Rattus norvegicus: one gene and its partner. Each later gene encodes a partner of the first gene's protein in a complex. Links are inferred from orthologs where the notes say so. Each region holds a gene or a part of one and is shown on either strand. Other genes may lie near its edges. The genes, in order: Dock5 and Rhog.

The links.
Region 2: the proteins of Dock5 (region 1) and Rhog are in contact, whole or in part, in a cryo-EM structure (PDB 8XM7), measured with the Homo sapiens proteins. The link is inferred for Rattus norvegicus from reciprocal best matches to the Homo sapiens genes DOCK5 and RHOG. Residues at the interface, in NP_079216.4 of Homo sapiens: Val232, Phe345, Asn393, His394, Lys395, Gly396, Trp400; in NP_001656.2 of Homo sapiens: Ala121, Pro123, Leu126, Arg127, Arg128, Lys130.

What each region holds. Positions count from the first base shown.
Region 1 is NC_086033.1:46,181,322-46,189,007, forward strand, and holds part of Dock5 (dedicator of cytokinesis protein 5), read right to left. Parts: intron 7,535-7,686; coding exon 7,449-7,534; intron 4,909-7,448; coding exon 4,749-4,908; intron 3,902-4,748; coding exon 3,861-3,901; intron 3,228-3,860; coding exon 3,137-3,227; intron 714-3,136; coding exon 594-713; intron 1-593. UniProt on the Homo sapiens protein: Guanine nucleotide exchange factor (GEF) for Rho and Rac. GEF proteins activate small GTPases by exchanging bound GDP for free GTP. Along with DOCK1, mediates CRK/CRKL regulation of epithelial and endothelial cell spreading and migration on type IV collagen.
Region 2 is NC_086019.1:166,036,588-166,045,073, forward strand, and holds the start of Rhog (rho-related GTP-binding protein RhoG), read right to left. Parts: upstream 5,615-8,486; 5' UTR 5,589-5,614; intron 5,548-5,588; exon of another isoform or gene 5,293-5,547; intron 3,261-5,292; exon of another isoform or gene 3,165-3,260; intron 1-3,164.

The DNA of each region.
Region 1 (7,686 bases):
TGTTAGTATGTCTTTCCAAAATCACTTTTTTTGTTTTGTCTTAGATAAGGTTTCTCTGTGTAGATCTGGTGGTCTTGGAACTCATTCAGTCTGTAGACCAGGCTGGCCTCAAAAGTCAGAGATCAGCCTGCCTCTGCCTCCCAGGTGCTAGGATTAAAGGCGAGTGCAACCATGCCCAGCTCCAAAATTACCCTTTTACCTTATCTTTTCTTGAAACAGGATCTTTTAGTAAACCTGAAGTTCACCATCTTGGCTAGCCTGGCTGACCAGCAAGCCCTGGAAAACTGTCTCCTTCTCCCAATACTGGGGTTACAGGACCATGTCCCCATGGCCTGCGGGGGACATGCTGGGGATCAGAACCCAGGTCCTTATTCTTGTATAGCAAGCACTTTATACACTGAACCATCTCCTAAGCTTATGTCATTTTGCTGGGGGCAGTGCCCTTATCCTGTGTGCTCTGTGCAGACTTAGCACTCAGAATTAGAAATGTATTCAATTCAAATTTTTCTCTTTCTAGTAGTAAAAAAACAAAAACAAAAAACCAACAACAAAACCCAGACAACAACAAATGAGATCCCCTCCTTCTTACTCACTTTGCCTTTATCAAAATAGGATATGATCTCTTGATATAGTTTCTCTTTAAGCTCCTGCTGGGTATAAACATAGTAACTATCCCTCTGCAGCAAATGGGGCATACAGGGCTTGTCCGACCACTACAAAAAGAAAAAGAATACAGGTTTAATGAGGCAAAACTTCACACGAAAAAAGTCAGGAATCTACTTCCTTGGGTGCCGTCAACTCACCCATATTGTGTTTTAAGTTATTTACCAAACACAAAATTACATACGCGAGGAGGCCCATATGTCAGTTCCGCTCTGAAACAAGTGTCACGCCAAATGGCCAGGCACCTGCAGTGTTCCTCAGCAAGGGAGGAATGGAGAGAGGCTGCTACCCCAGAGCAATACTGTATGGAAGGCATCCTGAACATAACCAGATGAGAGAAACACGCTAGGCCCACAGCCATGGAGGAGCAGCTAAAACTATGGCTGTCTGCAGACAGTTCCTTCTCCATAGTACACAGCAGCTCAGTGCAAAACCAGCTTGGAGAACTCAGAAGCCAAGGAATAAAAAACGTTTGAGGATGGACCTTGGCTACAAAGCCACACAGAAGACATCGGAAACAACTGTCCATCACAATAAAGCCGTTAAACAACTCTTCAGGATTACACAAGACCCCACCATTCAAAGGCACAACTGTAGCCCCAAGAAAAGGGAAACTCTCACTATGCCTTGGGAGGGGAACACCATTTCATAAGCACTTAAGTTCTTACTAAAGCCCTCCCCCAGCCCCTCTGCCGTTCTTTGGTGGTGGTGTGAATTGGACCCGGTGTTTTATGCATGCTAGGTATGTGCACTCCAACTGAGCTGCACCCCAGCCCTATTTATATATTTCTAAATTTTTTGACACTTGAGGTCTCACTAAGTCTTTCAGGCTGGCCTTCAAGGCAGAATCCTCCAGCCTCGGCCTTCTCCCTACCAACTACAATTACAGGTCTATCTTGGCAAGCCCTGCAAAGTTAGTTCATTTCCCAGTTCCCTTTCCGATTCCTTCCCTTCTCTTCCCCTCTCCTCCTTGCCTTCCTCTCCTTTCTCCCCTTCTTTCTTGGGCCTGAAAGTAGGGGTGCGAGCATGCCAAGTGAGTGCTCCACTACTGACCTATACCCTGAGGGTCAAGTTATTTGAAATTCCAGGATTCTAAGGCCCAGATGGAAAAATACAAAGGAATGAGAAACAGCACTGGTGGGCATGGGGGCAATGAGGAGTAAATATGCCTGAGATAACATGCTGTACGGAATGGATCATAACAACAATGTAGCCTTAGTGCATGAACAGAGGTCCACATGCAGGGAGATTACTAGAACGGAATCTCCTCCCGCACAGAGATAAAGCTGGGATCTCAGGCCAGTGGATGAAATTCAGATTAGATTTAACAAATACCGTCTCTACTGAGTAGCTAGCTGGGAAGAAAAGCCGAATCCACACTTCTTACCTTACCCCATATCAGGACAACTTAATGTTCTTTTTCTTCACTTTTCAAATTTTTGGTAATTTCCCTATGAATTACGGCTCTCCCTGAACTTACCATCCCCCGTTCTCAGCTTTCTAAGTGCCAGAATTATAGGTTTGCACCACCATGGCTAGCTTGAGAGTTTAATTTTCTGGGCAGCAAAACTAGAAAGACCTACAGGGTTATCTCTGGGAACCATTCTCTGATATCATGGGTAGCAAACCGTACAGATGCAGAAAACCCCTCAGTATTCCAACCTCTCGGGGACTCCAGTGTTTAGCTGCTGAGAATGATGCACGGGTAGACTTTTAGAATCAAATCGAATCAAGATAAACTACCTGTTTTAAGAATGAAAGCAAGAGGTTTAGGGAGAGGCCAGTATAGTACTTCAGGGGGAGAATCAGGGGCCTGGACACGGATGGCAGCAAGGGCTTTTTTTTAAGTAGAAGATAGATTTAGGGCACATGCTATTCATGGAGAAGTAGAAGGCAGCAGCTAAAAGCGAAGGGTGGAATGTGGCTAGGCCCCTGGGCAGAAGGGGAGATCAGAAAGAGAAGGGGACGAGCAGAGTGGGGTCAAAGGCTTGTGGTTTGGACAGGTTGAGGCAGTCACTGATGCTTACACAGGAATCCAAAGGAGGACAGGGCTTCAAATAATTGCCTGGGATTTGGGACAAGCAAAAGCACTGATATCATGCCCCACTATAATTTTATTTGGAGAGGATGGATGGGTTATATAGGCGAGTCCTTCTCCCACCTCTCTACCATTTTACTAATCTCTTTACACATAATGAACATCTATTTAACTAATTAGAATGTCAACCCTCACAGAGGCTGCTGGGTTGTGCCCTGCTTTCCAAGGAGCTTTAAACATCAAATGATTATCTTCCCAGTCTTGGTCTGAAATGTGACCCTGTTTATCCAGAACACAGGAAGGCATTCCTAGATGACACACTATATCCCTTGAGTAAGCTTCTTTCTGGCCCATATCATGAACTTGATGGAATTCAGACCCAGAGGACTGAACACGTGGGATACCCCGTGGGTCTTTTACATAGGACCCATTTACCTGCAGAAGCTCCGCATGTAAGAGGAGTGTGTAGGCAGCTTCTGTGTAGTTCTCACAGTCTCTGTGCAAATCTCGAAGCTTGTATAAATACCTGATAAGACAGGAGAGAAGAGGCCCTTTGTCACCAAGGAGATGAACCAGTACTCAGCATTCTCCAGTTAGGCCGCAGCCTGCACATAACCTTCTGCTTCTAACAGGAACACCTCCCTTCTCTTAGGCAATAGACTCACCACCTCCTATTTCTCTAGCACATGGTACCTCTTCCTGCCCTGTGGTTTTCTTAGCTCTTCTGTTTTGTGTTCTTAATTATTATTATTATTATTATTATTATTATTATTATTATTATTATTATTTTATTGATCCTCTTTGGGATGTGAGGTAAAGCTTTAGAAATTCTATTAACAAGTTGACTTCATGGTCGGAGACTCATGACCCTCAAACCAAGGGGCCACTATGGGTTATTTCTCTTTTCTGTCCAGTTTAGTCTCTTCTATCCCTCCTTAAATGCTGATGACTCTCTTGATGCTATTACACACTCCCTCAAACCATATTTGTCTGTGCCTCTGTCTAGAGAGCTCAGCCTCTGAGGCAGACTGCACACATCCTGTATTTGCAGGAATCTATCTAGGCAGCAATGGTGCTTTTCGGGCAGTGTTTTCTGATTTAAAAATATACTGCAAACCCATGACACAGATAGCAAAACCAAGGCATTTCCTTCACTTACCGTATGTATATGTCCTCTCGCTTCTTTTCTTTATAGAAATTCTGCCAAAAAGAAGGTCACAAAATACCAACATAAATTAAAGGCTGTTGATGAACTTGACACAAAAATAGCCAAAGCATGACTGCTCCTTTAAGTGTTTGAGCGTGCGAGCATAGTTGCCATCAGAGGCCAGAGGAGGGCATCTGGAGCTGGATCTACAGGAGGTTGTGAGCCAACTGACACATGTGCTGGGAACCAAACTTGTGTGTCTTCTAGAAGAGCAGCACACAGTCTAAACCATGAAACAACTCTCTACCCCACCTGCTGCTTTTCCAAAAAGACATCGTCTCCCTTAAGAATTTCCTTTACAAATATGGGAAGCAATGGGCTATAAAGAACTAGAGAAATTAAGACCACACTTCTGAGAAATGTAAGAGATTTTCTATGGGAGCAGCAGGTGCTTGTCTTATTCTGAAGCCACCTGGTACACTTACGTCTCTGGCAGTCAGGGAGATGGGATGTTCTTGGTTTATATTAAGCAGAGGAATACATACATAGCAACCTAAACCTTGGAGGTCTGTGGTTCCAAGAAGAGGGAAGACTAGAGTTTTACTGTCAGGAGAATTGCACAGACTAAATCATTTCATGGCATAGGTTTCTGTGTGCTCCATTACAACGGGAAAATAAGTACATGTAAGACCAACAGCCAGGCTGAAGAAGTCTCTGGGAAAGGCTAGAGTGTCAAGATTGTTTCCAGGTACCTAAAAGTCTGTGCCTGCTATCTGTGAGTAGGGCATGAGCTCCTGCCCCAGGGTGACTGGGCATCTGTGCTATCAACTTAGAGCTGAGTTGGTGGAGCAGGGGTGGCTGAGCTGAGCCCACTCACAAGCCCAGGAACCAGGCCCTTACCAGAACGTTTACTGTACAGCTCATGCGGTTCTCCTTGCTTTCATCGTGCATGATGATGGTTCTGTAGTCCAGCAAGTTCTCTAGGAGGCTGCTTACCAGAAGCGCAAAGACTTCCCCAGAGCTCGAGAGGTATTTATGTTTCCGGCAATGCTCTAAGAGTCTGGAGTGGGGAGAGAAAATTTCTGTGGCTCACCTAGCTGCTGTGGGCCCCAACCAAGTCCAAGCAGCAAGAGGCTCTAAAGATAATAGACATCCCCTGTGGAACCCAAGGTGCCCTCCCTCAGAATTTCAATAGGACTCATATTAGACCTACTATTTTCTTAGGTTCAACTCTTTTTTGGGAACACAGTCAATTCCCATCAATTGTTTAGAACTCCAGGTCACAATGTTGTTCTGAACTCTAGCTAGTCAAAAATTTCTTTAGTGAACATTGCAGAAATGAGAGCCCTTGCCTACAGTGTTCATACACCCCTCAGCAATATGGCTTTGTTCTTCCAAGGGCCTGGCATTGAACAGATGGTCGGAAAAATCCCAGGTAGAAGCCAGGACTAGAGGAACTTAGTAGACATTTGGATAGGTCTTCAGATAGAAAGGCAGAACTGGGAGACAGACTGGAGCTACACCTCAGATCCAGCCCTCCCCTTTTGGGGACATAGAGAGCAAAGTTGTGGAGCTTCTTCAGTAACTAAAAGAAAATTCAGAAATTGTTATGCATCTAAAGAATCAACCCAGACATGGGACTGGAGAGATGGCCCAGTGGTTAAAAGTGTAGACTGTTCTTGCAGAGAACCTGAGTTTGGTTCTTCAGCACCCCTGTTGGGCAGCCCATAACCTCTTGTAACTACAGCTCTGGAGGATCTGATACCCTCCTTAGAAGGTACCTGCACTCATGAGCACATCCATATATTCTCTCTCTCTCTCTCTCTCTCTCTCTCTCTCTCTCTCTCTCTCTCTAGTAAATATAAATATATAATAATTAGCCCAGATTCTAGGGGTATTTTTAGGTGTTGGAATTGATGTAGTTATATTTTTCTGAGCCAAGGATCCAGAAAGAATAAGGGAAACAAAGTAAGATCTCTCCATGAAGGTGTTGGGATTTTTTTTAATGTGTATTCTATCTTGTGTTGTGTTGTGTTTGTGTGTGTGTGTGTGTGTGTGTGTGTGTGTGTGTGTGTGTGTGTGTGTGTGTGTGTGTGTTGGGAGGGTTCTACTGATGAGCTATATGTCAACAGATCTTTTCAAAAGCAAGAATCACACTTTGCAGAACTGGCTGGCCTGGAACTCACCATGTAGACCAGGCTGACTCTGAACTCATAGAGATTCTCTAACCTCTGCCTCCAGGGTGCTGGGATCAGGTTCCACCACGCCCAACTACCCCCAAATCTTACATCTGTTTCTATCTCTGTGTAACTTCCAGACAAATCCAGGATTTCAAAAGCTATAAGCTAGGAGCGTTTGAAGGTATGAGACCTCACGGAAAAAGGATAGAAAGATCACTTTATTCCATCTGTAAACAGAACAAAGACATTCAATTCTTGAGCTCAGTGTTTTGGCTCCTACTCAGGATATCATTAAGAGATATGATCAAAGTTTGTGGACTCTATATTTGCGTTCAGACTGGTTCAACAAAGTTTCCCCAGAATAGGAGAATAACCAGTTTACATGACACAATGTGTGACCTAGGTGGCCGGTTGTCAAAGTTCAGACAGCATGAGAAACCAATGTGAATAGCCATCTACACAATGGGATGAGAAGACAATAATTACAGTCAATCTTAAAAATAACAACAAAAAATGCATATCATCTCCTGTGTATGTGTGTGGATACAGGTACATGTTGCAGCACATGTGTAGAGGACCTCAGGAGCTGGTTTTCTCCTTCTACTGTGTGGGCCTCAGGGATCGAGTTCAGGCTGTCAAGTTCCCTGGCTGGCAGAGCCACACTGCCCACCTGTAGTCAAACTTTTTAAAGTGTGAACTGTGCAAGCCACACTCTGTTGGCATACTGCCTCACTTACTCCTGAGAATAGGAGTAGAGAGTAGACACTACTCTTACACATGGAGGTGGGGTGGGGTGCTTGATCTGAAAGACTGACTCACTGGCTGCAAAGACAAGATCCAAGAACGTGGTGAAAAGAGGGTTTGTACTTATTCCTGCCAGTCTAGTAGCCGGACACTTGCACCACACAACAGCCCTGTGGGCAGCACGAAAGGACGGATTGTGCAGAGGCTGAGTAGGGGAGGCAGCAGACGAAGTGACATTGTGGGCTCAGAGATGTTGTCTTCAAGGAGTGCAGCACCCCAGCTGGCTGAGAGACAACTTTTCTGTTCTCATAGTTCTTTGATGGCATGCAAGGTATTTTTAAGTTTAAAGTCAATCTTAACTTCCTTTAAACGGCTGCTTTGAAGTCACAATTAGAGGTGCCCCACTTCTGCTCAAGTTCATAATTAAGACACCAGGCAGGATGCCATTGCTGCGTGTGTCACCTCCTAGCTCCCCTCTGCTATGATCCCCAGGGCCAGGCTGGTTAGAGAACCCCAGCATGGACTCCCATTGGTTAAGCACTACCTGCTGTGTATATTCCATCCACACCACCAAGGACCAGTTGGTGACTGGTGACTTTGAACCTGCCAACCCACTGCTGGGTGGACAGTTGCTTCTGTCTACCTCTGGCCTGAGGTGCTGTTCTGAGATACTCACAGCTTTTCCAGAAGAACCTTGTATTGTTCATCTCCTCGGCCACCTTCTACTTCCTGATCCAGCTTTGTGATCAACTCATTCTCAAACTGAAATGGAAGACATTTCACAGGAGGATGTCAGATCCTGAGAAGAGGGCACGGTAGGCAGAGGCCATTGTTTCCAGATCTGGCTCGACCCCTTTCCGATTTCGAGCTGCTCCCAAAGAGCATGGGGTTATCTGTAACGCCCCTGCTAACAG
Region 2 (8,486 bases), on another chromosome or scaffold:
ACCTCTGAGTTGGAAGGCAGCCAAGTGTACAGAGTAACTTCCAGGACAGTCAGGGCTACACAGAAAAACCCTGCCTTGAAAAACCCAAGGTGTGTGTGGGGTGTGTGTGTGTGTGTGTGTGTGTGTGTGTGTCCCAATCCAAGTCACAAGTCACAAGTGACTTCACTGATCCAAAGTCTAACTGTCTATTTCATGTGGATGCTGGTCAGAATCTTATCTCTTGTTCTTAACTGGGAAATCTTAAGAGGGAAAAGTCCTGCCTTGTTTCTGACTCACTAGCTGAGTACAGCACATGTGGCCGTCAGTACAAAACAAAACAAAACAAACTACAATGAGCTTAACCTGTCCCTCTGTGCACACAAGAGCTCAGCTCCTATGAATGCTGTGTACCCTTCCGATTCTTCCAGCCATCTGGGCTCAGTTCTGTTCGCACCTTCTCCAGTCTATCACGGCTCCCTCCTTCTACCTTTCCCAGTAGTGACTGTTCTGTTCGTGCTCAACACCTACCTACTGGATGATCTGTGGGCAGGAAAGCCCGTTTATGTGTAGAAGCCCGGCACAAGGCTGAACAGAAGTTGCAGAGTGACATACAACCCCCTCCCCCCAATCAATCCTGACATTGAGACTAGGAACAAGGAAAGCCTCTATGTCCAAGAGACACTGGACAAAGGTAGCCAACTTCTTCCTCGCTCAAGAGAAACAGAAAGTTAGGGTCGCACAAACTAGATTGCTCTGTCCTCGGCTAAGAGTAAGAAGTCAGGCAGTGGTAATTCAAAGGGGCTGAAGAAAATGGGAAGAAAAAATAGAAGACAGGCCAAGGATTAGATGGGAATAGCTGCAGACCTTTGGCCAAAGACAACCAGGCCAGGGACGGGGCACTGCAAGTTTGTTTGTTTGTTTGCTTGTTTGTTTGTAGGTAAAACAAGGAGGCTCACACTGGGGATGCAGCTGACTGCAGCTGGGCTGGGAGGAGGAAGCTGGGGGAGACATGAGGTCAGTGTGGGCCTGGGACCAGGCCAAGGGCTGAGGCTCTTTCTACCCCTTCTCAGCAGCAGCAGGGAAGAACCCAAGAGAACCCAGTTCCCAGTCTTAAAGAAGAGAAAGGGAAAGTCCTGAGGGCAGTGTAGTGGCACATGCCTTTAATCCCAGCACTCTGGAGACAGAGGCACTGCACTAAAACTCTTGAGTTCAAGGCTAGCTTGGTCTACAGAGTGAGTTCCAGGACAGCCAGGGCTACACAGAGAAACCCTGTCTGGAAAGGGGAAAAAAGAGGAAAAAAAAAAAAAAAAGCCCACACTGAAGGACTCTTCCCTTTTTGTCCTTTTCCACCTCTGGGATCCAGCACAGAGGAGTTTGGACTATGGTAGGTAGGGTAAGAGAGACTTGATGCTACTTTCTAGGGACTGACTACAGAGGAGGAAGAAACAAGGCATTGGAGCTGAGGGCACAGAGACTTGAGACAGCTTCACTAAGTCTGTCCCATGCTCATCCCAGCACCCAGGATGTTCCACAAAGGGTGAGCCCCAGAGACAGGACAGCTCCAGCTTGGGGAGCCAGGCCGCCCCTCCCCCACCCAGCCACACAGAGGAAGGCTCACACACTGGCTTATTTCTCCCTGCCTAGCAGCAGCTCAGCAACCTCTGGGTCTGTGAAGTGGCACTTCCTTTGCTCACTTCACATGAGGCTGGGAGTGCCAACCTTGCAATCCTGTCCCCTACCTTAAAAACAGAGAAACCCAGGGCTTCCTAGTCCTCTAAGTGTGCCACCCAAGGTCTGAGGGGGTTTCCACAAAGGGGAAAAAATAAACGGGGAGGAAACGCTACATCTATTTTCCACTGTTAGTGGGCACACAGCTGGGGCAGAGGGCAAGGTATACAGCCCATCCTGGAGTCCTGAGACAAGATCCCAGCATTACTGCCTTTTTATCTGTCCACCTACAGCAATCTTTGTACTTTGAATAAAGAGCGACAGTTCTAACCTGCTCAGATCAAGGCTGTTGAGACATGAAGGATGGGTCTGAGGCACTGAAAACGTAAGCCGTTTTTCTGAAACGGTCTTACTGTATGTCACCTTGGCTAGCCTGAAACTTGATATGCAGACCAGGTGGGCTTCTGCCTCCCAAGCACTGGGATTAAAGGTGTGTACCACCAGGTCTGGTTTGCAACTTAATGTTAAAATAGAGTCAAGAGATACTCAGTTGACCAGACTGATACAAAGACTTAGTTGCAAATTTAGGGTGAGGACCAGATCTAACCTCTGGCCTGATTGTCTCACAAAGCAGAAAAGGTGAAGACCTTTACTCTGAACTTTGACTTTAAGATGGCCCTAGCATGGTTTGCTTCTTTAAGTAATGGGTGAGAGGGCTAGAGAGATGGTTTAGTGGGATTAAGAGCACTTGTCCTTGCAGAGGACCCAGTTTTCATTCCCAGCACCCACAGGGTGACTCACAGGTCCATAGAGTTCCAGTTCCAGGGGATCTGACACCCTCCGTGGGCATCAGGCATGGATATGGTACACATACACATATGTAGGCAAAACACCCATACATAATATATATACAGAAATCTCAATAGATAAAGCAATGGGCCAAAGGAGTCAGGCTGAAATCCATCTGCATCCTTTTGCTTTTAAGCTATCCAGCCTCCCAGCCCCAGTGCAGCTTGTACTGCTCATGGTTTAGCATTAACAGTGTGCTACTGGACAGCCAGCTACCCTGGTCTTGTCCTAGCTGAGAAGCTCCTCCTTTGGTCTTTAGCTCCTAGGGACATGCCCTCCCCCCATGTGAGATGAGGACAAAAGAGGAAGCTGGACCCTGGACAGGAAAACCAGTCTGATCTGGGGAGGTGGCCCAGGCTTTGTCTTTGGTTTCCCTTCGAAGGTCCTCTCACAGACCCCTACAAACCTCACCTCTAATGGATCGACGCTACATGAAAGAAGAGGTTTTTCAGACTGTGCCCAGCACCCTTCTGTATTCTCTGTTCTCCAGCTACTATCACCCGTATCTTCACAGCTGCCCATATAACCACAGCCTTTTGTATCTTCTTGCTCATAGCCCCTCAATAGCTACTATCATCTGCCTTAACATCTTCCCTGAAGCGACTCTCCATAGCCCAGACTGCTAAGCAGGACGAGCAGCATCGTCACCCTACCACTTCTCATATTACCTTAACCATCCACAGCGTTTTCCTACTTAGATTCCTCCCATCCTGGTCACACTCTTCTTGCAATTAGCTCAAATTTCCAATGTGGCCAGATCTTGCCTAAGAGAAAAAAACCCTGTTACTGCCACCATTATCTCTGCTCTCGGAGCCTTGTGGGTTGCTTAGTTATACCAAATGCTAAACTCAGTACTGGTTTGTCAAGCTAAGAATCAGGGCTCCTGACGACTTTTATTGAGCTGTGATGCCAAGAAAATGTGCCGTATGCACATCCTTTCCCGAGCTGGGATTTAATACAGATCCCTTGGATTTCCTCCGTGGGGCCAAACCTCTGTACCTCCCAGAAATGAGAGTAGGAAAGACAGGTGGAGAAGGGCAGGCCCAGAGGAAGGAACAATTGATGGGAGAGGGACAACTGTGAGGTGGTAAGAGGATAGGAAAGGGAAGGAGCCTAGCTCTTAAATTTAGCTGTGCTCGACGATCCCCCAAATGTGACATTTGCTCTCCTCCACTTCTCTTTATTCTCATGGAGAGAAGAAGAGCAGTGGAGGCAGAGACAAACAAAATCTGAGCATGTAATCCAAAGGCTGAGGAGGGGCTCCAGAATGGAGACAAGCACTTACAGGGCCAGGACAGACTACGTTAGACTTTGGAGAAACCCCTCAGAGAGCGGGAATAGAGACCTTGGTAAGAAGAGAACATCACGGATGCTTAAAGACAGGAGGGTCAGTACAACTCCCAGTGAAGGCATTGACACACACCAGAAAATGTAGATACCCAATGTCTGCAGTCCCCACCGAGCAGCAGGGAGGAAGGACAAACACCCTTGCCTCGAAGCCCTTTCCTGATCAAAATTTTAAAAAAACAGTAGAGACTTAAGTTAGACTTGCTGCAGCTTTCCCTCCAGAATCTTGCCTTTGCCCCCTTCCTTTTCCTAGCAGACCAAATGGCCCAACACACTCTCCCCACTCCTTAGAATCAGTAAGTGCTAGGAGACTGGGAAGAATCAGGGTAGTTTGATTTCCCATGGACTTTCTAACTAGTCTTATTCTTGTGTCACTCAACTCTGGCTGCTACAGACTGCTTCCCCTGCCTAACCACAGTGTCACCCACCGCAGGTTCCCTTCATTCTGCCGGCTTCTGCTCTGGGACTTCTCAAGGCTGAGGGCAGATAGTTATTTTGTCTCTAAGAGATAAAGATGTTGACACACCAGAACTTGCATGTTCACGCGCGTGTGCACATGTTTCCAGCCCTTTAATCATCTCCATCCTTGGAAGGCTGCAGCCAGCATCTCCACTAAGCTAAAGAGGCTCGAAAAAGGCTCCTAAAGTCAGCAAGTCTAAAGCAGTTTCTGACACCAAAGTTAGAGTACAGACCAAGGAAAGGAGAAAGACTGAGGGCGGCAGGGAAGACAGAAACAAAATGGGGAGAGATGTGTGTGGCAGTCAGAGGATGGGAAGAGATGGAATGGGGAGAGAGCAGAGAACTGAGCAGAAAACAACAGGGCAGAGTAAATGTATCAGGGCCTGCATACATCAATGTGGCTGGGGGAAAAGAAACTGAAGGAGAATGTGGTAGACACGAAGGAGAGTGGAGGAAGACAGTATGTGGAATTCAGGTGAGGGAGACGTCTTAAGAGCTCTCAATCATTCCCCTAAGTCAGAACTCCAGCTGCTTCTCAAAGTCCCGTAAGTTGTCAGCGACTATCGGTATGGAGGCCCTTTCCTTCCTAGGTTTATCCGGAAAAAAAAAAAAAAAAAGCAAGGCCAGATTGAGTCAGATAGACACAACAGACGTGTTCACTAAATACCTGTTGTTGCATGGGATAGGAATAAAGAGGTTGGCTCAGAAAAAAACTGAGAGAGGGAATGGGGATTCCCCCACCTCATCCTCAGCAGCAACAGTGTAGCTATGGACTGGCTCCGACCTTCCCGGGTGAGACCTTTCTCTGCAGTCTCAGACTTCAGAGGCCCCAGACACCGCCCCCCAACCCCCACACCCCAGTCTCACAAATGTCACAACTGCAGAGCAGAGAGCGCGCCTTCTGCAGCCCAGAGGCCCTTTCCTTTCACACACTACTGAACAACCCCCCACAACTTCGGAGGGCACCCCACCGCAGAGTCCCAGCCTCACCAGCTCAGCGCTTTCCCACTTCCGAGCCTCTCACGGTTCGGATCTCAGGGGTCCCTCGCAGACAGCAGAAGCCCGCGCTGTCCCTGGGATCCCACACTCAACCCAGCCACCAGCGATCGGCTCGCGGTGGCCGCTGTCCCCGCCCGGCCTGCCGCGCCCGCCCAACTTGCAGTGAACGAAAACCTCCCGCCCTCGTCCTCCCTCCTGCAAACTCCCCGGCTCGTGGGTACTCAGTCCCGACCGGCTGAACTCTTCTTCCCAGGACCCCTGCCCACCAGGCCCGACCCTGGCCTCACCTGGTGCCCTCCCCGCGGCGGGGGAGCTGGGGGCGGCGGCGGCGGCTCTGGGCTCAAGAAGGAAGTGAGAGCTGGAGGCCGGAGGAAGTGGGGGGGTGGGGGACGGGCCGGCGGGGCCGGGGCGGGGCGCGGGGGCGGGCCGGCCCGGGCGGGGCGGACCAGGAAGTCCGCGGCCTCCCCCACCCTCCACAGCCTGGGGTCTTCTGTAAGCTTTGCCCGCCGCACAGTCCTGCACCCCCTGCTTCCCGCCACTCTTCTCCCTGAGACCCCTTGAGTGTGGCCTCTCAAGGTCAGGTCTCCCCACTTTCACTTGGCATCCCACCCTAGCAGGGGCCCTAAGCTAGGCGCAGGGCATTTGTTCTCTTCCTAGTATCTCACTCCCCGCCCCGCAACCTCCGCGGGAAGGCTGAGAAATGCCTTCCGCTCTGCCCGGGAATCTAGAGGTAGCCATGGCTGGCTAGGGATTAGCCGGAATGGGTCAGGCTGGGGCAGTCCCCACCCCTGCCCTGAGCCTTGGGAGAGTGCCGGGTGTTGGTGATTCAGCAGTGGGAAGGTTCCAGACCCCTGGGGAGGGTGGGGAGATAGAGGTGGGGGCAGGGCAGCTGCCGTCAGCACCCCGGGAAAAGACATGATCAGCAGAGATGCAGGCGGAGCCGCGCGGGCCCCCAAAACAGGATGTCGTGTCGTGGTTCCGCACCTCGCGGCTCCGCGGGGCCCTGGGGAGGGGGCGGGGCGTGGGAAGACGTGGGGCTCTTCTTGTTCCCTGATCTTGCCTTGGCGCGCGGCTGCTTGGAGCGGTAGGACCGCACCCAGGCTTGAGGTCCGGCCTGGGCCCTGGAGACAAGCGAGTGGGCGGCCTCGTGGGCGCCCTCTGGTGCTTCCAACCCAGGCCTTGGGCGCAGAATTTTACTGGAGAATCAACATTTTTTAAAGCAATTTTCTGGGTGCTCTACCAAGTGCAGAGCTCCGCAAGGTGCAGTGAAAACAGTTCGAGATAGACAACCCGTCTTACAGAGGCCCTCCAAATAAAGTGGATCGGGTCTGACAAATAGTTTAATGTTTCCAAGTATCTTTTTTTTTTTTTTTTGTAAAATCAACAAAAAATTCTCCATCCAGAGGATGTGGAGATAACAGAATAGGTGTCTATGCTGTGTTACTGTATAGAAAGTCAAATTCAGACAATCGAACTCAGGCTGGTCAGTGAGTGACTGAATGCGAGTTCTCAGATCCTCCAGAAGCCAGTTCTCATCGCTCAGGCAGTTTGTGGGCCCTTTTCTTCTTCTTCAGTCCACAGGCAAATTCCTCCCTATGAGGAGAGGAGAATAGGAGGGGCTAGAGGAAATTTGGGAGTGCAGAACAAGTGCTTGGTGTTTAATGGAAAGAGGTTTGTGAATCCCCCAAATAACAGGGTCACGTTCAAGTGGCTTCAATGAAGCCATTAAAAGTATGTTCCAAGCCAGGTGTGGTAGCACGTTTGTAGTCTCAGCATTACAGAGTTAGAGGCAGGAAGTTCAGAAGTTTAAGGCTAACCCGGGCTATATGAAACCTTACCTTAATAAAAAAAAAGTTCTCGAGTTCAAGGCCACCCTGGTCTACATTCCAGAACAGCCAGGAAACCCGGTTTCAAAAAAACAAACAAACAACAACAACAAACCAGAAACAAAATCCTGAAAAAATATTTGAAAATTAGGCTATCGCTCAGTGATAGAATGCGTGCTTGTCATGTGTTTAGGTCTGTACCCCAACACCACAAGCAATAGCTTGTTTATTTAGAATCAATTGAGGGGCACCGTGGTAGGAACAAGGTAGAAAGAACACTGGGTAAATAGATTGAGAGCTGGGCTGGCAGCTTAGGGTCACACTCTGCCGCCTGGGCTCTGAGTGTCTTGGGTTTGCCTTACCTTCGTCCAGGAGGGAGAACTTTCTTAGACATCTGTTTGATGGAATATAGAACTATTGCACCCGAAGCTTCCAGAGGAGGAGCTGAAATCCCAGGACTAAGACTGGAAAGGTTTTAGGCCATGCCCTTACCCATTTCTGAGTCTCAACTTCCCCCGACTGGTAAACAAGGTGTTGGGGCAGATGAGAGCCCCTTCAGCTCTGACCTTCTGCAATGCACTCCTGAGAATAATAATTAAGTAATTGAGGTTTATGCATATAGCACATTGCTCATGGTTCCTTAATATCACTTAGGTCATCCTGTTTTGAGTTCTAGTAAATTGTATCTGTGTCTAATGTCTGTCTCCTCTACCAACTGTTAAGTCCTTTGAGGTTGTGTCTGATTCATCTCTGTGTCCACCCACTGGGCCTGGCGCAGGCACGTCCGAGCATACACTTGTGTTCGGTAAACATCTGTGGAATGAAATTGCTTCAATAAATTACTAATATGTGTAGAGTCATCAGCATCCAGGTGATTCGGAACCACTTTTGTGTTACAGATGTGAGAAGGGTCAGTAAGGCCAAAAGAGGGGAGGTAGGCAGAGAGGTAGAGCCATCTGGAAAGGCTTCTTGGAAGAGGAGAATCTAAACTGGAGAAAGTTCACGCCATAGTCTTTTTCCTAGTCTTTCATGAGCTTTCAGGTGAGTTCATGCAAGTGGTACATGTCATATACTTATAGACAACTGAGGTACCCACAGGACCTGGGTATTTAGAAATAAGAGGACATAGGGAAGTTGTTTGTTTGTTTTTGTTGTTTGTTTCATGTGATTAGGCTCCCACGCCTGATGAACTGTGGCTGACCTTGAACACCAGTCTCTGCCTCTGAAAAGTTTTTTTGGGGCGTGGAGTGGGGTAGATTATCCATGATAGAATAGTTGTTAGAATTCAAATCCTGGTGGTGATGTATCTAAGGGCCTTTGACCAGTCACACGCTGTCTTGCATTCATCACTTCAATTCA